Linked DNA regions of Alligator mississippiensis. The protein of the gene in region 1 purifies or fractionates together with the protein of each later gene. This does not show direct contact. Links are inferred from orthologs where the notes say so. Each region holds a gene or a part of one and is shown in the gene's direction. Other genes may lie near its edges.

Region 1 (10,381 bases):
CTCAGCAATACAATTCAATAGGCTGGCCTCAATACTGATAGGACTAAGTCCCCTTCTTTCAGTCCCTTTTGGGCGCTCTGCAGCTTCAGCGTGAACTAAGAGATTCGTGTTCACGGAGAGGGTGGTTCAGGTGATCAGTCTGATCTGGCCTACACTTGCGATTCTTCCTTCGATGTTCTGCAAGTATAGTCACCTCCAAATTGGGACAGTAGGTTACAGTTTTTATTGAGTGAGTTGCCGTCTTGGGCCACTCCTACTCAAACCTGTCATTACCCCCAAATTTGGGCTTGGATCTTACTCAACAGATTCTTTTGCTTAATAATTAGTTTCTTTTGTTGATCATTTTAATTACTTTGGGGAACTTGCATACCACTGCAAGTGACCTTTTTCTTACCAATCTGTCAAAAGGCTCTAGAGTTTGATCTCTCGGAACTCAGGATATTTGCTGAAAAGATCATTGTTAGGTTCTCTTTGTAAAAGACTTCTAAAGATAAAATTCAAAAGTTAAAACTTTAAGCAAAGTCTGGATTTTTCACAGACCAAAACAATGACCTAGATAAGGAGATAAATCTTATCTTCTTCCTGAAACTGGCTAATGGGCAACCATTACAAACATTCAAACTATTTAATTCAATATGACATAGCCAAGTCCTTACCACCAGGGGCTGATGAACTATGGCAAAGGTGGTGATGTCTTAACCACCTACGTACCCGAGTCAGACGCTCCAAGGAACTAATGAAGTAGGGCTATACCATTGGTTCAACCACCTGTGACAGAGGCACAGAGCCTCACACTATGCAACACCTGCTGCAATGCCTGCTGCTTGAAGGCACATGTACAATGAAAGGCCTCGCAAAGTACAATAAATATGCACAAGCATGTGTAGCAAAATGGTCAAATGTGGTGTAGAGACATGAGAAGAACAGTGCTACAGATGTGGATGTAGCTTTATAGTCCAGAGCCAAAAGATACATAAGAATGTACACAGGGGTAAGCATAGTAGTCCCTTTGCATTGAATAGATAAGCATGGATTCCTTCCTGTTTCATCTTAAGAAATGTCTGAGTCCCTGGCTATAAAATAAACAGATAACTTACAGTGGTCTAATTTCCCTATCTGATTTCTATACTTATAGAAACAGTAGTCTACATAATATTTTTTTAATATTAATTAAAAGGGTGCTTGGTTGACAGTTTAGTTTTGTACTCTATTCTTACCGTGTTAATAGTATTGCAAAAATATATGTTAAATTGTGAAAGGCATAAAATTAAGCTAAGTGCACCCTCTTGAGGTTGCTCATGTGAAAATGCATATTAAAAGAAAAACATTATTTACCTGTTTTAAGCAGGACTTCTTTTATGCCTATTGAATAAAAGAGGTATGTAGCATTGCAGGCAGACTGAAGGGAGACTGGTCCCTTCAAAATGTTCCTTAGTAATTTGAATGCCATTCAATCAATCAAAAATGAATTAGAAACAGGACTAGAACTTAACTTTCACAATTTTAGGTGCTAACTACAGCACCAAAACACCTAAGTATTACTGGAGTTAATCCATGTGCATTTAATAAAAGGAAATGGAAGTGCATTGCAAATGCCAACATACTTATATAGGGGAATTAGGAATTACTCTTAAAAGAAACTGGGAAACAGAAGAAAGTGGTACAATTTAGGGGAAGTTAACTGTAAGACTCTAAATTCGTCCCTTCCGCTAACAGAAGACTAGATTGTACAACATGTATTGTGGCCTTATGCACAGGGACCTACCTAAATCATGGTTTTGTGGATTTTGCAGAGACTGCAAAATCTGGGGGTGCCTATGAAATCCATGAAAAAAAGATCCTAATTAAAATAAGTTTTTATTCGGTTTTTCCCTCCCAGATGGGCCTGCCCGGGAGGGGAAGACGCAGGATGGCATGGCAGAGCAAAGGGGACAGCAGACAAGATGGCAGCTGTCCCTACTCCCCCCCATGCCCTCTGGGCCTCTCTGCCAGTCAGCACTGAGGGATAGGACCTCTCCCGCAATTGGATCCAAGGGGTGGGGCCACCACAAAATGCCTGCAAAATGTGCTCTTCATGCTGTGATTAAGCCATAAAAAGGGGCTTTGTCTTGCTGCAAGTAGGTCCCTGTGTATGCATGTTAAGGAACTTTGAGACCTAATTGGTTTAGCTTATAAAACATTAATTATATTTCTTTCATACAATGCATGCTGAGTTTGGCCATAGAATTAAACTAAACTGGCTCATGTCTTGTTTTGCATTAGTCCAGTGCTTGTTAGGGATCTGTTAACACTACTGAACTCATTTAGCTATACTGTATTGATGCAAATTTTCTTGACGTAAAACCAGTATTTGTAATTACATTGAAGTCACTAAAATTACTCATGTATGTTACTGCCAGTAATTTAGCATGAGCCAGCATAAGTGAGCAGAGGGCTATCGAGTTGGGGTTAAAATCAGTAGCAGCCTTCTAAATCCACCATAGACAATTCTGGACTAACAAATCCTCTCTGTGCGCAACTTTTTTGAAACATGATCATTTTAAATGTTTGTATTTTGCTTGAAATAGATAATTTTTAAATATAAAATGTGCCTTCCAGCCCTCTCTACTGCTGAATGATAAAATAGACAAACAATAAAATAAAACTGTTGGGAAAACTGAAAATGGAATTTACTTATATACCATGGTAATGGTGCATAGAACCTTACTGAAGCCTCAGTAGCTATTTTGGTGCCCTCAGCAAAGATGCTGTGGAGCCTGAGGGGGTGGGATGGGATCTGTGCAGTGGTGGATCCGGGGTTGGGGAGTGCTGGTGCACTTCTACACCACCCTTTGATTCCTACTCCAACCAAAGTTTAAAACCAACCACCTGGCAGTGGCAGCAGCATTTCTTATCAGGCAGTGCTGAGGGAGTCAATTGACCTCATGGTTCATTGTAATCTACCTGACCCCTTCTGCACTCTTCATTTCACAGGTGTTAGCGACCCTCTATTCTTTTTAATGGTCTTGATGTTCCACCAATTAAGCTACCCTTTGTTCTTCAATTCTGCTGTCTGTTAGTTGCTCCTGGTGATACAGCTCCTACTTCACAGCACTGCCAATTGTTTTTAACTGATTGCATGAAGTTATATTTGTTTCTTTGCTCCAATCTGAAACTGAATAATATAGCCTTACACCCCTGGCATATTAGTTAAACTTTTAGTTTATTTTTAATTGGAGAAAAAGATATGTGGTTTCATATAGATTTATAGATGCTAGGGTTGGAAGGGACCTCAGCAGATCATCGAGTCCACCCCCCTGCCCTGGACAGGAAAGAGTGCTGGGGTCAGATGATCCCAGCCAAATGCCTATCCAGCCTTCTCTCAAAGACCCCCCAGGCAGGGGAGAGCAACACCTCCCTTGGAAGCCTGTTCCACATATGTGATGATGCATCTCACTATCTATCCTCTTCTGCCTTTTCAAAATCATATATCGGCCCACAAGTGCATGTTATTGAAAATGTAATTTACTTGTAGACCATGATCATGATATAGAGCACCTTACTATACACACCCATAGGCAGAAGGAGTGTGCAGCACTGGGGGATGCTACTGGCATCTCCTCTCGGCTGGTGGGCTAATTAGGTTAGTGAGTAAAACTTTCCTCAATGCATCCTTTTCCACCATCCTCTCTTTACAGAAAGAGGCAGATCCTGTGTGATTAATGGAGAAGCTTTATCTGTTTTGGATAAACAGGATTTGGACAGTTTTATTTTATGTTATTTCCCTGCTCTGGTGAAATACACCATAACTGGAGGCCACAAATGTTTTTTCCCCCAAAGCATTCATACAGATACCCTGGGCAAAATGAATCAAAGATCAATCTCTGCTGCAGTGGCCTATCTTTGAAAGGCTTGGAAGGTACCTGTGTTGGCTTAACAACCCCTCAGATAATGACTACTTTTGTTTGAAGTGCCATATGAGGTGCATTTTCGTTTGAGGTGCCTTTAGCACACATTTAGGACAAGCTGTGTGGTAGATTTTATAACCCAGCTCAGTTGCCCCAATTATTGAGGGGTCATCAGGTACAAAAGGAGCATTCCAGTTACTTTCTAGGCCCTCTAGGGAAGTGGTTCTCAACCGTTTTTGTACTAGGACTCATTTGTAACATCAACGGCCAGTCGTGACCCATTGCCCCTCATTCCTGGCCTGTCCCCCCCTCCCCCGCCCTTGTTTGTGGTACAGGGGTGGGTATGTGTCGCATGGGGAGGCCTCAAGCAGCCCCTTGCAGGCTGGAGCTCTGCCAGCCTGCAAGGGAAAAAAACAGTTTCCCACGTTTTTCTTCTTTCAAGGGCAATCCACTTTTAAAGTTTGTTCGCTTCCCTTTCATATATTCTTGTGACCCACTTTTGGGTCATGACTCATGACCCATGGGTTGAGAAACACTGCTTTAGGGGGCAGGTCCTGCTGTGGGGAGCACAAGAAAGTTAGCTTGGAAGGGATGGCGTAAGGTCTAATCCAGCCCCTTCCTCAAAGCAGAAGCATCCCTGACCAAACCATCCCAGCCTTTCTAACCCTGTTCCTGAAAACTTCCAAGATAGCAGATTGTTCCAATACCCGGGCACCTGCAAAGTCAGGAATACCCTCTTAATCTCAAACCTAAATTCCCTCTGCTGCAGCTCTAGGCCATTGCTCCTAGGACTGTCCCTTGGGCCACAGACACCATGTTAAACACAGCAGCTCTGGCTGACCCAGGAAGCACTCCTGCGTAATCAGCATTGCCAGATCTTAAATATGAAATAATTGTATTGGAAGCTCAAAATTATCCTATTGTGGAAAAACTATCGTACACTGAAAAAATATGCGAATGAACATGCAAATAAGTTTTCTTCTTATTTACTTTATATTGCTCACTATAACTCGCCAGTGAGTGAGTGAGAACTGAATCAAAGTCGAAGCATTTCTTTATGTTGAGGCAAGCAGCTGTAAGAAAGTGCTGATAGTAAACCTCAAAGTTAGGTCTCAGCCTCTTGTGGGCTAAGATCAGGTGGGGGCATCTGAATCCCAAGATCTGTGGCCTTGGGTCTGCAGGTAGGATGCCTGCCAATGGATTTGGGGATATATGAAGTCCCAGGATCAGCAGTTGGGAATGGAGGATGCTCACCATTTCTAGCACCACACATGGTGTTTAAAACAATTGAGTTCTGCCTGCTCAGTCAAGATGGTCTTTGCAAGGACTGAGTTCTGATCACTTGATATGATCTCAGTTACACAACCTTATGAAAATGAAGGACTCCTCTCTAAGCTTGTTGCTGCAGCCATACAGCTGAGAGCAAGCAAAACATGGGGGCATCTGAACCCCAAGCTTCTGGGCTTGGGTCTGGATGTAGGATGCCTGTCAATAGATTTGGAAGCATCTGATGCCCCAGGCAGGGGTGGAGGATGTTTGCCTGTAGCAGGGCCACATTAAGCTTCTTGATTGACTCATGGATTTGGAATTGATTTGGCTGTTTTAACTTGGGGGACATGACAAAATTTCTATTAAAAAAATAATAAATACTTTCTGAGAGCGATTTGGGTTTTGCATGTGCTGCATCAATAATCTGCCTCAAACATGAGTGTACATTTTGAACCCCTATGGTACAAATATGGTAATTACTGTCCACGCGCGCAGCAACACCGTGCCTAACAATCCCAATGAAAGCCAGAGCGGCCTGCCACAGCCAGCCTGCAAAGCTATCCCCCCCGCCATTGTGCTGGGCCGGTGCCCACCGCGCTCTCAGGCCCCGCCCCACAGAGAAGCGCAGGCCTTTCCCTCTGCACCACGTGGCCAAGCCGCAGAGCGTCACTCGACTCGCTGCCCTGAGGGCCATCGATGCGTTCCGGGCGCGTTCGCTTCTCCCTGGACAGGGGCCCGCCGCGCATGCGTGCGGGGTTCGGAGCGGGGAGTTGCGCGCGCATCCCCCACGCGGCGTTCGGTCTCAGGGCGGCGGCTCGCGCGCGGTTCTGTCGCGGCTCCAGGCCCATCCCGCCTCCCGCCATGGCGCTGCACGTGCCCAAGGCCCCAGGCTTCGCCCAGATGCTGAAGGAGGGCGCGAAGGTGGGGGCGGGGCTCTGGGGGAGTGGAAACTTCTGGAAGCGCCGGGCTCGGCCGGGAAGGGGAGGGGTCTCTGTTGCTCTGCTTTCTGCTCCCCGCCTTGTCTGCTTTTTATACCCGTACCAGTCAGCTTTCTTCTCTACACCTTGTGCTGTCAGTATCATCTGCTGCTCTGTTTTCCGCTCCTCGCTGCATGGTGCACCCTGGCCCCTCTGTTGCTCTGCTTTCTGCCCCCCGCCATGTGCAGCCTCCCCCGTCCGCTGCTGTGCTTTGTGCTCCTCATCCGTGTGCCCCAAATGCTCTGCTTTCTGCACCTTGCCTTGTCTGCTGCTCTCCTTTCTGCCCCCCCCAGCTCTGTACTCCCTGACCAATCTGCTTTCTGCCTTACACCCTATGCTCTCTGCTGCTGTGCTTTCTGCTCCCCACCCCATCTGCTGCCTCACCTGCTGTTGCCTGCTCCCTGACTAGAGAAGCGGTGTAGAGCAGGAGTGATCAACCCCATGCCACAGGCTGGATCCACCCCTGGTGCCCTGTTACCGTTGTGGGCCTGACTGGATGCTAGGTTGCATGCACAGGGGCCTGATCCCACACGTGCAGGGCTGGGCAGAAGCAGCCTGGGGCTCCTGGGCCCATCCACTCATTTGGCCTGTGGGATCAAAACCTTGAGCACCGCTGGTGTGGGCTGTAAAGATGCATAATGTCTATGATGCTGTTGAAGAAGGTATTTCCGACGTATCAGGAGCCTGGTATAGGAGAAACAATAAACAGGCCCAGGGCACTAGGCCATTGTTGGTCCCTATCTGGAAGGGGGAAAAAGGCTTAGTAAGATGAAGAAGGCTTGATTAGAGAAGGTTAATAAGATGAAGAAGGGGAGATGGAGCAAGTTGGGGAGCCTACTGCTTTCCTGTTTCAAGAGGGTGGTAGGAGGTAGGCAGTAACTGCAGGAGCTGCAGATCTCTAGAAAGGGGTGGGGGGAGCAAGGAAGCAGATGTGAGGGGACTCTTCCCCCAACTAAGAAGGGGCACGGGAGCAAAACAGTGGCTACTTTTCCCAAAGTGAAGGAGCTGCAGCCTCCTCCCTTTTGGATGTAGAGGGCACCTGGTCATGCTCTACAGAGCTGGGTTTGTGTGAAGATGCATTATTTAGCAGAGTAGGGAGCTCAGTTACGTTTGTGTGGTATAGGGTTTAGGCTAGGTTTTGTTAAGGTATAGTGAACATCTTGACATAGAAACAAGATGCAACTGGTTTGGGGTGAGGTAAGGAGGGATGGCTCCTGAAGGGGAGTGACATATTCTCATGCAAGCGAAGGAAGATTTTTTCTTAAGTAAATTGGTGCCCGTCATATTTCAAGCTTCATATTATGAGTCAGTAACTGTACCAGAAGTGATCTACTGGGATAGACTTGAGGCATTCACTTTGCATCAAAAGGGGACCCAGCTTGCCTCTTTCCCTGTTCAACAACTTGCTCCTAGTGCCAGTGGGGCAGTTGGAAGACTTTATATGGTACTTTTTTGTCCTTACTTTTTTTTAAAGAACACTGTCACTTGTATTTAAATATTGGGAATGAAATCCTGGCCTCACTGAATTCAGTAACAAAACTGAGAATTATTTTATGTTAGAATTTGTAATGTTAAGTAATAAACTTCTCTTTGTAGCATTATTCTGGATTAGAAGAAGCTGTGTTTAGGAACATTCAGGCATGTAAGGAGCTTGCGCAAACCACCCGTACAGCTTATGGACCAAATGGTAACGTTGAATTTTGTAGTTTGTTGTCATACTTACGAATACAATGCTGTATCTTTCTTGTAGAAAGACCTGCCTTTTGTGGTCTGTGGCAATATGGAACTCCAGTATTTAATGTCACATAGCTAAAAAAAATTGGTCAGTACCAAGACAAAATGCTTTTCTCATAATCTTACTGTCTTTATAAGAAAACTGACACTGTTGTATTGTACCACTGTTAAAACGTTTGGGGGTGAGGTGCTGAAAGAAAGTCTCTCAATTTTGGGAATTGAAAAACTAATAACATTGGTTCAAACTGTAGAACAGTATTTGCAAGTATGTAAAATATATACGCTGTTTGTGCTCCTAGGAATGAACAAAATGGTGATCAATCATCTGGAGAAACTTTTTGTTACAAATGATGCTGCAACGATCTTAAGAGAGCTGGAGGTAAGTGCTTTGTTATATATTATCTTTTATTTTGGTTGATATATTATCACCTAAATACTCTAACAACTACAAGCTTTTTACTCGGTTTCCCTATTAAGGGTTCCTAGCAAGGATTCAGTTCTATTGGCTAAGCTGCCCACATAAGGTGTTAAAACAGAGCTACTGTTAACAAGTGTACAGTCAACACATTCAAATCTAGCAAGCGAAAAAGTAGGGCTTTGCAACAAAATGACATTTGTTATAAATGATTACTTTGATTATTGAATAATAGCATTAGTAATTCCTTGTTTTCTCTTCCAAATGAGATTAGAATTTAGAGAAAGTTGTGATTGCTAACGTTTTGGGCTTGCCTATGTGGCAGAATGCCATGGAAGACTATCTTGAAATGAGATAGTCAATAACAAGAAATTAATGTTACAGCTATAGTCATGTGTGTCTCTGTTTTGAATTATGTTTTTATTTGTGGGCCTAGAGGCCTGAAGTGAGGGGGCTTCCAGCTGTCAGAACTTGCTGCTTGCCATTGCATCTAACAGCACTGGCAGTGAGGTGTGCAGGGGTATGACAAGCAGTCCCTCAACTGCACCTTCTGCCATGCACTTGTGGCATGGCAGGAAGTGCAGTTGTGTGGATTGTGCATCAGATCCCGTAGTGCTTTTACCTGTGTGTCTTGTAGGGGCCTTAGATGTAGAAAAGCGGAAGATGTCAAAATGGTCAGCGCCACAGCATTTTCAGATGCTTTGCACTCTAAATCAAACACGTTCTAGAAGAAGCAAAACCTTGCTTCCTCCATCCCAATCATCTGCATTCCTTTTAGATAAACTGTGTTTTTTGTAAAGACTTCTTTGTTTCCATACAAAACGTTAAGAATATATATTTTTAAAGTTTACTAATTGAGAATGTTAATTCAGTGGCAACGTATAACCTTTGAACAGGTCCAACATCCTGCTGCCAGAATGATTGTAATGGCTTCCCATATGCAAGAGCAGGAAGTCGGAGATGGAACAAATTTTGTCCTTGTTTTTGCTGGGGCCCTTCTTGAGCTAGCTGAAGACCTTCTGAGGATGGGATTATCAGTTTCGGAGGCAAGTAGTTGATTTTTGATATTTGCATTCATACAGCACAGGTACTATGTTAGATTAGTGATTTGGGGCTGTACTACTTGGTTGCATCCATAATATGCTTGACTATTTTCTTTCTTGCCAGATTAACTTCAGTAACCGTATAGCTAAAGAAGAGTAGTGAGAGAATTGTCGTAGTTTTACTTTGTCTGTAGACAAGATGTTTGTTATAAAGTCAGTTGACTAATAAAAATGGAGTAGCCAGTGCCCCGTAGTCTTACATGAGAGAGAGCCATTCCCATCTGGAGCAGAGTTGTCCCTCAGTGGGAGAAATGACTGTATGCTGACTGTGTGCCTGCTTCTTAGTCATTTTCATCCCTGGGTTGGCACTTTGCTCGGTGCAGACTGGCGCTCTCCCCACCTATTTACGTAGTGTTGTAATAGCTTCTATGGTAGGCAGTTACCTCAGGACAGCTGGTTTTGTGTCTGCTCTTTAATTGGGAGTAAATTTACTACAAAGTAATATTTAGAGTGAATTAGTAGCAAGAATATTGAGTCTGCGCCCTTAGTATTCACCACCCTTTTTTTAGCGATTTAAAATTTCTCTCTCATATTCCATATTACAGTATACATACACTTTAAAATTTTAAGACACTCCACAAGGAAGCACACTGAATGTAAATGTATGCTATGGGGAGGCCAGAGTGTCATAGTTAACTTTTTTGCCTGCATCACAGGTGATAGAAGGCTATGAAAAGGCCTGCAAGAAAGCCCTAGAAATTCTTCCTGATCTAGTATGCTGTTCTGCAAAAAATCTTAGAGATGTTGAAGAAGTATCATCTTTGCTGCACACCTCAGTAATGAGCAAGCAATATGGCAATGAAGTCTTCCTGGCCAACCTTATTGCTCAAGCATGTGGTAAGTATGAACAAGTTGGCTGTTTATACATATCTATATTGAGTATAGTCTTGTTTTTATTTATTTTTTTTTGGTAGTGTTCACATGGAAATTGAATTGAAAGGTATAGTTATCGAATTAGTGTAATTCAGTATTAATAGTTATGAAAACTTAGATTCT
Region 2 (10,411 bases), on another chromosome or scaffold:
AGGGGGCCAGGGTTTTGTGGGCTGGGCCGTCCCGCGCCAGGGATGCCGGAGCTGGCGAGATCCATGCCATGCCCGTGGCTGCGGCTGCCCGGGGGGGGATGTCTCCTGATCCCCAGCCCAGCATCGCTTCCAGCTGGCTTCACCCAGGCACCGCCTGCGAAGCGGGAGAGCTCGGTAATGCATGTGGGGGTGGTGGTGGGGGTGCAGCTCCCAGCTCATCACTAATGCAGGAGCTTCCAGGCCTTGGTGGCTGCCGCGGACGCAGGATAAAAGCTAAAAGAGGCATCAATAATTCAAACCCCACTCGGAGCCGGTAAGTGCCGGCGGGAGCTGGTGGGCAGAGCGAAGGCAGCGCCTGGGAAATGCGGTGCTGGCTCCCGCGCAGCTTTCAGGGCTTGCGCCCCCCTCCCACAGCCCCGTGGGCCTGGGTGACTGCCCTATGGCTGCAGGGGATGCGTCCCTGTGCCCCAGCCCAGCCTCCATCTCCTGCGAGTGACCCTGGGGCCTGCAGCTTCAGGACCTCTCGGGCCAGGGACTTGCAGATGCCGCTAGAGAGCAGAGCTGGTGTCCATGGCCCGGGCTCGAATGGGTGGCGCAGCGGACAGGCTTTTGGTTCCAGTTTCAGCTCCATCACTTGGTGAAATCACGTCCTGCCTCCGTGCCTCAGTTTCCCTCCCCTGCTGTGTCTCATCTCTGCAGGCTCCTCTGTGTGAGTGAGCTCCTGAGCAGGTAGTGGGCAAGTGGCTGGGAAGAGCAAAGGGGATTTGGCCACCGGGAGAGGGGGGGTGTTGGGTGCAGGGGTGCCAGTGGAAGGAGATGCTTTGGTGGGCTCCGAGGCAACACCATAAGGATGCCCTCAATGGCCCTTCCCTTTAGTGGAGAGGGGGAAGGAAGAGTGTTAAGCAGTGGGGAAACTGAGGCACAGAGCAGTTTCCACCCCACCTCCAGTGGAGATGGTTTGTGACAAGCCGGCCTTCCCCTGCCCCCCCCCAAAATGAAACCTAGAATCAGGCTGGGGGTTATTCCAGCCAGTTCTCCCCGGGCGCATCCACCTGCTTGGAGGGGGCAGAGACCCCGGGCTGGCCTGTGCCTGGGCCACTGTCCAAGTCATCCAAGTCTCACGGCAGGTCCAGCCTGACCCCGTGCCCCAGCTGTGCACAGCTGCTTTGCAGGGTGGCTGTTGCTCTGGACTGGTCTGATGTCCCCAGCAGGCAGACTGGGCTGGGGGGGGAGCGGGGAGGGGGTTAATGCCAGGCTGTGCTTCCCCCTCACCCCCCAGCCCATTCACCCTCTGCCAAGCTGCTGGCAGGAGAGGGGCTGGCTGCAGAGAACTTGGCAATAGGGTCAGGGGGTGTGAAAGAGCTCGCCCGCCCCTCCGCTAGGAGCTGCCAGGGCTGGGGGCTATATCGTATAGTGCCAGGGTGGGGGGCTATATCACCAGAGGTGCAAGGCGCTGCATGGCTGGAGACGATCTCTGCCTGGAGAGCACTGGCAGCAGGTGGGAGAAGGAAAGGAGGCGTATTCCTCTGGGGAGAGTGGGATCTCCATCACTGGATGTTTTTAGCCCAGGGGGAGAAAATGGGGCTGGTTCAGGGATGAGCCTGCCTGGAGCAGAGGGCTGCATTAGATGTGCCCCCACATCCCCTCCCAAGGGACCTGCCAGCCTGATGAGCCTAAGTGACTTGACCAAGGCCCCGCAGGCAGTCCGTAGCAGAGACCCCCCATCTCCATTGGGCCGTGGGGCACGCAGCGTGGCAGATCCCCACGTCCATCCCTGTCTACACTAGCACCTTCTGGCCTAGCCAGGTGGGGAGGGGGAGGGAAGGCAGATCCTACATGTTAGCCCCCCGACCCCATACCGTGCTGCTGACAGGCGACATCATGCAGCAAGTAAATAACATAATTAATAAAAGATTAGGATGAAATGTGACACATTAAATATTTAACCCTGCGGCTGCCCGCGCCGGAGGGCCAGACACAGCTGGCTTCTGCAGGATGTAAGGAGCAGGGTTATTTCCAACACCCCCCCCAACACCCAGTTTAACCCTAAAGAGCAGAAGGCTGATGGGGGTCCATGGAGGGGTGGATGGGAGGATTAACCCTTGGAAGCCTCTCCGCTAGGGCTGAGTGGGGCTGTCCGTCCGTCCGTGTGGGAGAGGAGGTGTTGGGGGCTAATTGTTACAGCGGTGGGGGGAGAGTAGGGTACAGGAGGGAGAGCAGGGCAGCTGCGAGCCAGGACTCCTGGGTCCTGTTTCCAGCTCTGGGACGAGCAGGGATGGTTGGGGGTGAGTGGGGAAGGGCTCTGTGGATTGAAGGAGGGAGCAGGGTGTAGCGGTTAGAGCAAGGAGGACTAAGGAGGAGCCCGGATGCCTGGGTTCCCGTCCTAGCTCTGCCACCGACAGGCTGCGGGGTGGGGGGCAAATCTCTCTTCCCCACCCCATCTGAAACAGGGCCTGTAATCCTTCCCGGCTCCCGGGTGGGCTGCAGCTTAATTGATTTGAGTGTTTCCCTGCCCCGGGGAGCAGCAGTTATTCCAAGAGCTGATGGGGGGGACAGGAGCGGGGGTCTATGGGGAGCCTGAGATGACTCCTGGCCTGGCCACCTCCTCTGCTCCCAAATGCGGGGCCGATGCCCGTTTGAATTGGGTGATAAGGGGTGGTCGGGCACCAGCCGGAGGGCAGGATGTGCCCTGAGATCTGGGCCGGAGGAGCCCCTGCCTTCCCCGCAGCTGATAGGCTTGCAGATAATTTTGCATCACTGATGAAATCAGCCCCCGGAGCTGCTTGGCCTTGGGTGCGCTGTAATTTCTTCTCTCCTTCCCCAAAGAAATGGTGCAGCACGTCGCCCCGTGGCGCTGCTTAGTCCTGCGACGGGTCCCTCCTGCTCCCTTTCATAGGTGGGGGAACTGAGGCACGCCGGCCCTCCGCAAGATGCAGGCAGCAGAGCCAGGATAGGACCCGGGAGTCCTGGCTCCTGGGCCCGTGATCGCTCTTTCCAGTGGATCCCCTCCCACCCGAGGAGTGAGTAGATCCAGTCCCTGCGGCTCAGGGGTTCCCAGCCCTTCCCATCTAGGGCCCCTGTGTCTACCCAGGCCAGGAATCGGGGAGACGTGGGGGATGCTCCTGGTGACCCCAGGACCTGACCGCTCCATGCCTCAGTTTCCCCATCCATGAAGCAGACATGCTAATGCCTAGTGTCTGTCTGGAGATGGGTGCAAATCTCTCCAGAGAGATCAGGAAGGCCATGACCCCCCAGTGCCTGCTTCCATCCACTGGCATTTTCATAGACTCATAGACAATAGGGCTGGAAGGGACCCCGGAGGATCATTGAGTCCTGCCCCAGGGGCATGAGAACCCAGTTTTGCTCAGTCAAGCAGAGGCCATGGAGAAGGGGGCTAATATGGGCATTGCCCCCAAGAAACTGGCCTGAGAATGGGCAGGCCCGGCCTGGTATTGCGCGGTCCCCAACCAGCGACGTCCCTTCTATCCGAACCCCGCTGGGTGATAAGGCAGTCCCCGGGGGATGCATCTGCAGCCACTTCTGGGGTGGAACACGGCAGCGTGGGCAAGCGCCTGCCTGGATGACTGCTTCGTTATGAATTACGGGTAGCGCCTCAAGGCTCGGGGCCTGGCCGGCCCACCGTGCTAGGTGCTGCACGAATGCTTCCAGCAGCTCGGGGATCTGGAAGGGCCAGAGGCTGCTTGGGTTGGTTTTTAAGGCTGGGGAACAAAGTGAGACCGCGCTCGGATGGGGAATCCCAGGGTCCCCGTGTCCCAGGACCGGCGGGACATGCAGAGGGAAGAGCGCTTTACTGTCTTGCCTGCAGCCCTGTGGGCAGGGAGCTGGGGGGGGGGGGGGGGGGGGTCCTATTGTGATGGATGGTGCCGCTGTGCTTGGTGTTAAAGGGATGTGCTGCTCTCTGCACAGCCTGAGTCATGGCCAGCAGGAAAGCCTTGCCTCCGTTAGATCAATGTGCTGTAATTATACCAGCCAGCCACTTCGGGCGGGCGGTGGAGGGAGCTGGGCCCCACGTTACTTTGATTGACAGCGGTGGGGAGCTGCAGCGCGGAGGCTGCTGGGGGCTGTAGTCCGGGCCAGCTGTGCTGGGGGGCGAGATGGGGTGCTTCGTGCACTCGTCCGGTGCCAGCGGTGCCCTGCTACGCGCAGCGACGGGGGGCAGAGCCCTAGGGACCAGCCGCCTTCGCGCCCAGCTCCCTGGAGCAGTCCTAGGCATGGGGCTCTTTGCAAAAGGAGCCTGAGCTGCAGGCTACCCTGGAAAGGGGGGAAACCGAGGCACAGAACTGACATGCTCCAAGCGGCCTCACTGCTTCATAGCACCTGTGCCCCGCACCTGGCAGGGAGGGGCCTGGTCTCCGACCGCTCTCGTGCCAAAAGGCCGGAGGCGGCATGGGGCGGTGGCACCAGGCACAGCCATGCCCGAGGCCGAGGACGCTCTCGCCAGGCGGGGGCATGGGGGTATCTGGTGGGATGCACCCCCAGAGCTGCCCAGGCCTGGCACCCTTGCCCCAGATGCTGCCCCAGCTGAGATGGGGCTGGGAAACCACAAGTCCCAGCCTGCCACTGCCACTGCCCCACCCCGGCTCCCCCCTGCTTCTCCTCCTGATTAGCCTCCGAAAGCTTTGACATCATGGACCCATGTGGGAACTGGGAAGGCGCATTGGTTGGCGCTCCCAGCCCACGGCAGCCAATGGCGCCGCGTCCACAGTAGCCGAGGCTGCAAAGCTCTTTAAGGTGGACCTGGGCAGCCCAGGGCGCGGGCGTCCTCCTGGGTCACCTGCCGGCCCGAGCATCCTGCCTTGGCGTCCAGCACAGCGCTGGTCCCCTGGCACCGCTGGCCTGGGCCTGGGGGCTGGCGTGAAGGCGAGGCGTGGGGCAGCGCGAGTCGCCCCGCCAGCCTTGGTCCAGCAGGAGGCGCTGCGGTGCCCGGGGCAGGACAGCAGCTTGCTCGGGGCATTTGCTGCTCGCTGCCCCAGTCGCAGCCTCTCTAGCCCAGTCCAGGCTTTCTCTCGGGGCGCTGTGTGCCCTGTGTTCGGCCCCCTCGGATGCCCGAGATGCCAGACCCTGATCCGGGCATCATCCTGCGTGGACAATGCCCAGATGATGCCAGGGGTGGAGGGAGGGCTGGTTTCCAGCCAGGGTCCGGGAGAAGGAAGCCGGGGGCTGGAGGCTGCTCTGCTCTCCTGGCTTCCCCCCGTCCCCCCTACGGTGCCCGGGGGGCTTCAGAGCAACTTGGGGGCACCAGTGCACTCACGGGGCACTGAAGTGGCTGGGGAGGGGGCACCAGCGTGGCCAGGGGACCCTGAAGTAGCTGGGGAGGGGGCACTGGAGTGGCTAGGAGGCCGGGGGAGGCATCAGAGCAGGCAGGCGACACCAAAGCGGCTGGAGCTGGGGGGCGGCAAATTGTGGGTCTGGCCGAAGGCACCGCTGCCTGCGGGAGCTGGTGCCTGGGGGGTGCCTGGGGGGCGCCCCAGCTCTCCCAGCGCCGTGGCCAAGGCCTCTCCTGGAGGGCCAGAGCCACCTTAAGGCGCGCTTCGCCAGGCTCCCCTGCTTTCTCTGCCTTGCCAGGAGGTAGTTTTTATTCCAGCCAGGGACCGCTGCTGAAATCCGGCCAGATTTTCGCCTGACCTTCTGTTCCTGCTGGGTTTTTTTGTCCCCCCCCCACCCCATGCTTTAAGGCCGATTAGATTTCCCCCCAGCCCCGTGTCCGATGGGCCGCTCACGACCCGCCGGGGAGGGAGTCCTGCTCCCCTCTCGCCCGGCGGAGATCTCCGCTCCGGCACCCCCAAAATCCTTGCATTTAAGATAAAAAGAAAAAAAAAAAAAAGCCTGGTCAGAGGAAGCCTTGTGCCCGCCTGGCTCGTCCTGGGCTTTGGCTGCCCTCCTGATCCTACGGCGGCTGTTGGAGAAGTTCAAGTGCAGGGGTCCTGGGGGGGCTAGCGGGGGCCGCCCCCTTCCCCTGGCTGGTAGCCGTTTGGGGCCAGCGGCTCAGGATGTACCCGCAAGGACGGCACCCTGTAAGTACCAGCCCCGCCACTGGCTGCGGGGGTGCATGGGCAGGGGTAGGGGGGCACTGGGCTCTGATCCAGGCGCGGGGCAGGGGCAGGTCCCCGATGCACGGGGCATCGCGCTCATGCCCCCTGTGCTTCCCTCCCCAGACCCCGCTCCAGTCCGGGCAGCCCTTCAAGTTCTCCATCCTGGAGATCTGCGACCGGATCAAGGAGGAATTCCAGTTTCTGCAGGCACAGTACCACAGGTGAGGGGTGCGGGCGGGCTGGGGGCGGCTGGGGGGACGGCGGGCATTGGGGGTCATTGAGGGGGGCAGGAGGAGAGTTTTGCCCGTGGCAGCTGGCTGGGCTGGGTGTGGGGGGCAGGTGAGGCAGGGGCCTGATAGCGAGGACAGGGCTCAGCCCCCTGCTTGGAGAGGGGGGAGCTGGGAGGAGCATGTGAGCCCATGGGGAGGTGGATGGAGGAGACTGGTTGGGGGTCAGGAGACCGCAAGAGGCCATGCGCCAGGTCCCGGGTAAAGGGGGCAAGGCACAGAGCTTGGTAGTACCAAGCGGGGAGGCAGGGAGCAGCTGGGGGTGCCGGGGGGGGGGGGGGTCAGGTCCTGGGGTTTGCCAGGCAGGAGGCATTTGCATGGTGGGGGAAGAGGGCAGGGGGCGAGCTGGGGGGGCTTCAGGTCAGAGGAAGACCCCAAGAGCTGGCGCAAGCAAATGCTTGGGGGAAAAGGGGTGCAGGTCGGGAGCCAAGATGCCAGGGTGGGAATACAGGCACCGGGGGTGGGTCGATGCCATGGGAGCCCTGCCGTCCTGCGTGCCACAACCCGCCGGCAGCGGGGCAGCAGGGGCGGGGGGCTGCCAGCCCTGATGCTGGGACCCTGGCGGGGAGGGCAGGGTGGCACCAGCCTGCCCTTGTGACCGAGCGGTTTGTCCGCAGCCTGAAGCTGGAATGTGAGAAGCTGGCCAGCGAGAAGACGGAGATGCAGCGACACTACGTCATGGTAAGACCCCCACTCATCCCCACCCCGCTGGAGCCAACGGGGTGGGGGGCTCACCCTCCAGCTGGGTCCTCTGCACACCGTGGGTCCCTAGAGCCTGGCTTGGGAGGAGACCCCCCCCCCAGCCAGTGGGTGCTGCCAGCAGGTCACCCCGGGGGTCTCCCCGAGTGGGGGGGAGCATCAGGCAGGAAGGAGTTAAGCGCTAGTCCTAGCAATGGGCTGGGGGGGGGGGCAGCTGCTGTCTGCTGCCTCGGTGCCAGCCTGGATCCAGGCCATGCTCTCTGTCTTCCTTTTTGCCCCGGTCTCTTAATTATACAGGTCTCTGCCCCCCCCCCGGGGTGGGAGGGGATTCCTGGAAGCAAAGGCGCAGAACCCCCCCACCTCGTGCTCCCCACCATGATGGCAGGGAGCAGCATCTGTAATGGCCAGCAAGGGGTTAATAAATGGGCTGGGAGCCCTGGCATTGCCCAGCCGAACTGGGCACTGCCCAGCTCTTTGCAAAGGAGATGCCCAAACATCTTGGTGGGTGAGGGGGGAAACACCCTGGCCCCCCTGCCCAGGCAATGAGGCTGGGGTCCTGTCCATGCTTGGCTATGAGTCCTTTCTGCCACCCCCTCTCCCCCCCACTTCACCGCACGGGTGCCAGTTCCCCGGGGGAAATATGCGCCAGTGGGTAGAGCAGGCATGTTGCGGGGGGAGGGCAGGCGGGCATTGGTGCCCACTAAGCTCAGGCAGGACCTGGTGTGAGTAGGACATGGGGCAGGGGAGGGTGGGCTGCACAGAGCCCCTCTCCTGCAGCTGCTGGGGCTGGAGGGCCAAGCGGGGGGGCTTGTCCTGCTAGTGCCCAAGAGAGGGACCCCGCTAATGCCCCGTGGGACCCCCCTGTAACTGGACGGTCGTCTGGCTTCCCTTGCAGTACTACGAGATGTCCTACGGGCTCAACATCGAGATGCACAAGCAGGTGAGTGCCAGGGGCCCAGGCCCAACGCGGGGCAGGCGCTCCGCCCTGGGGCACAATCCTTCCACGTTGCCCTCAAAGGGGGCGTTGAACCCAGAGCTCACTGACGCTGAGCTGGGTGGCACCAAGTCCCGGTGGGGAGCGGCTCTTGCTGCGCTTGGCGCTGTACAAATGCCAGGACCCTGAGGAGCACAGGGGGGACAGGGCAGGGATGGGGTCCCTGAGCAGGGACCATGTCCTTAAGCCTTAGTGGGTGTATTGAGGTGCCTAAATCCCTCTGACACCACAGGGACTGAGATGCCCGCCCACACCTTTAAGGACCTAAACCCCTTTCCCAGCCAGCCTTGGCACGGCCTCCCCTCCGCCAGTGGTCTCGGGGCCAGGAGGGCATGGCGGGGTGCCCGGAGCGGCTGGTGGCAACCGGACCTCGGCTTCCCCCCTGCTCGGAGCCGGCACAGTGTTTTCCAGCCAGCCCCGGCCCCTTTGTTGCTGCCGTAATTTGCTTTCCCTCTTCAGATTTATCAACCCAGTCATCGCGGGGCTCTCTGCCAGGGAAATTAGCTTGGAGCCGTGCCTGACAAAGTGGCAAGTCAACTGCCATATTTCTCCAGCTGGCTCAGCCCCCCGCGCTTGCTCCTTTTGTGAGCGGGGAGGTTTGGCACCGGCGCTGCCCTTGGCTGCGCCCTCCTCTGCTGCTGATCCCGTGGGCATCCGAGACCACCCCGGGGACCCAGCCGGGAGCGCCAGGCCGCGGGGGGATGGCGAGGAAGGAAGGAGGGGTGTTTTAAGTGCCGGGCAAAGCGGATGTTGGCGCCCGGATGCCTGGGTTGTGCTCCCTGCTCCGGGCGTGAGCGTGGTATGGGCGCTGGTTCTGCGTCCAGCTGTGGTTAGAGCCAGGGAGATGGGTCCTGCGAGTGTCTGCAGTCTAGGGACGCCCTGCTCCCGTTGCCGCTGCGTGCCTCAGTTTCCCCGCCTGATGGCGAGGCTGCGGAGAGCTCCAGGATCTGTGGGGGCAAGGAGCTACACAGAGCTAACGAGCGCTTGTGCCCAGCTGGCAGCTCCCAGCGGGCACAAGCCACAGCTGTATTTGAGCCACAGCTGTAGTTGAGCCCAGAGTCCCACGTGGGGCTACACCAAGCCTGAAGCAGGCTGGGAAGGGACGTGGGGAATTGAGCCCGTGCCCAAGCTGTGTCTATGGTATCTACCTGGCTCCTAAACCCATGTGGCCCGAGGGACCGCCAGAGCCTGGATTCAGTGCCCGGGTGACCTGGATGCCCCCTTCCTCCTCCAGGCCGAGATCGTGAAGAGGCTGAGCGCCATCTGTGCCCAGATCATCCCCTTCCTGACACAAGAGGTGAGCGGCCGTAGGCTGGCGGGGCACCAGCAGCGTCTCGCGGGGCCCGTGGGGGAGAAGCACCCAGGCCAGAACAGCTGGGCAAGGTCCCAGGGGGTGGGGTGGGGTGGGGTGGGGTGGGCGCTCAAATGCCCCCCTGGATCATCCCTGTGTGGACCCTACTGCGGCCCCACCTCCCTCCCCACCCAGCTGTGGCCCCAGGGGTCTCACCCTGCGATGCTCAGCACCCCTGACCGCCCTGCTTTCCCGGGCAGCACCAGCAGCAAGTGCTTCAGGCCGTGGAACGGGCCAAGCAGGTGACCATGGGGGAGCTGAACAGCATCATTGGGGTGAGTAGCTCGGCTCAAGGGTGGGGAGGTGGGAAGCTGGGCACGGGGAGCCTGCAGTGCCACCCCCACAGGGGTCTGGGCTTTGCTCACCATTAGGCCTGCTGGTCCTCACATCTGGAGCATAGTGGGAGGGGTCCTGCTTGCTGGTCATACTGACCAGCTGCTGCAATGGGTGCAAAGGACTCTGGGACTAGAGGGAAGGGGCCCCTCATCCTTGGGGGGTGGGATTTGGGGCATTCCCCCTCTCCCGGCAGCTTCTGGAGCCTCTATGCTTTTCCTTCCAGCAGCAGCAGCTGCAGCACCTCTCGCACCATGCGCCGCCCATCCCGCTCACCCCCCACCCCTCTGGCCTGCCCCCCTCCAGCCTGGCCGGCACCTCGGGGCTCCTGGCACTGTCGGGGGCACTGGTAGCCCAGACCCAGCTGGCCGCCAAGGACGACCGAGTGGGTCCGGATGCTGAGAACAGCAGAGGTAAGGCAGCAGCAGCAGCCCTGCAGCAGCACATGGTTGTGGGGGGTGGATAGGGGGCGGTTAACCCTTTGCACCCTGGAGGGTGCCCGCCGTGGCTACTGTGATCCTCCCATGGAAATTAATGGAGCAGTGACTGCCGGGGGCTCCACGACCCACCAACCATTCATCTCACCAATCGCTGCAGGAGCTGCACCTACTGGGAGCACTGGGATGAGCAGCACCTGACAGCGACGGGAGGGGGACGGATCCCCAGGGTCACCAGTTGGCGCCAGCCAGGAGAT

The links. The genes of interacting proteins can lie anywhere in the genome.
Region 2: the proteins of CCT8 (region 1) and transducin-like enhancer protein 2 purify together in Homo sapiens (affinity purification with mass spectrometry; 3 studies listed by BioGRID and IntAct, with this or other methods). This does not show direct contact. The link is inferred for Alligator mississippiensis from reciprocal best matches to the Homo sapiens genes CCT8 and TLE2.

What each region holds. Positions count from the first base shown.
Region 1 is NC_081824.1:289,663,570-289,673,950, reverse strand, and holds the start of CCT8 (T-complex protein 1 subunit theta), read left to right. Parts: upstream 1-5,923; 5' UTR 5,924-6,017; coding exon 6,018-6,077; intron 6,078-7,729; coding exon 7,730-7,820; intron 7,821-8,166; coding exon 8,167-8,246; intron 8,247-9,178; coding exon 9,179-9,328; intron 9,329-10,041; coding exon 10,042-10,222; intron 10,223-10,381. UniProt on the Homo sapiens protein: Component of the chaperonin-containing T-complex (TRiC), a molecular chaperone complex that assists the folding of actin, tubulin and other proteins upon ATP hydrolysis.
Region 2 is NC_081839.1:3,785,761-3,796,171, reverse strand, and holds the start of transducin-like enhancer protein 2, read left to right. Parts: upstream 1-5,452; 5' UTR 5,453-6,011; coding exon 6,012-6,035; intron 6,036-6,176; coding exon 6,177-6,274; intron 6,275-6,479; exon of another isoform or gene 6,480-6,541; intron 6,542-6,957; coding exon 6,958-7,021; intron 7,022-7,934; coding exon 7,935-7,979; intron 7,980-9,267; coding exon 9,268-9,330; intron 9,331-9,584; coding exon 9,585-9,659; intron 9,660-9,943; coding exon 9,944-10,130; intron 10,131-10,411.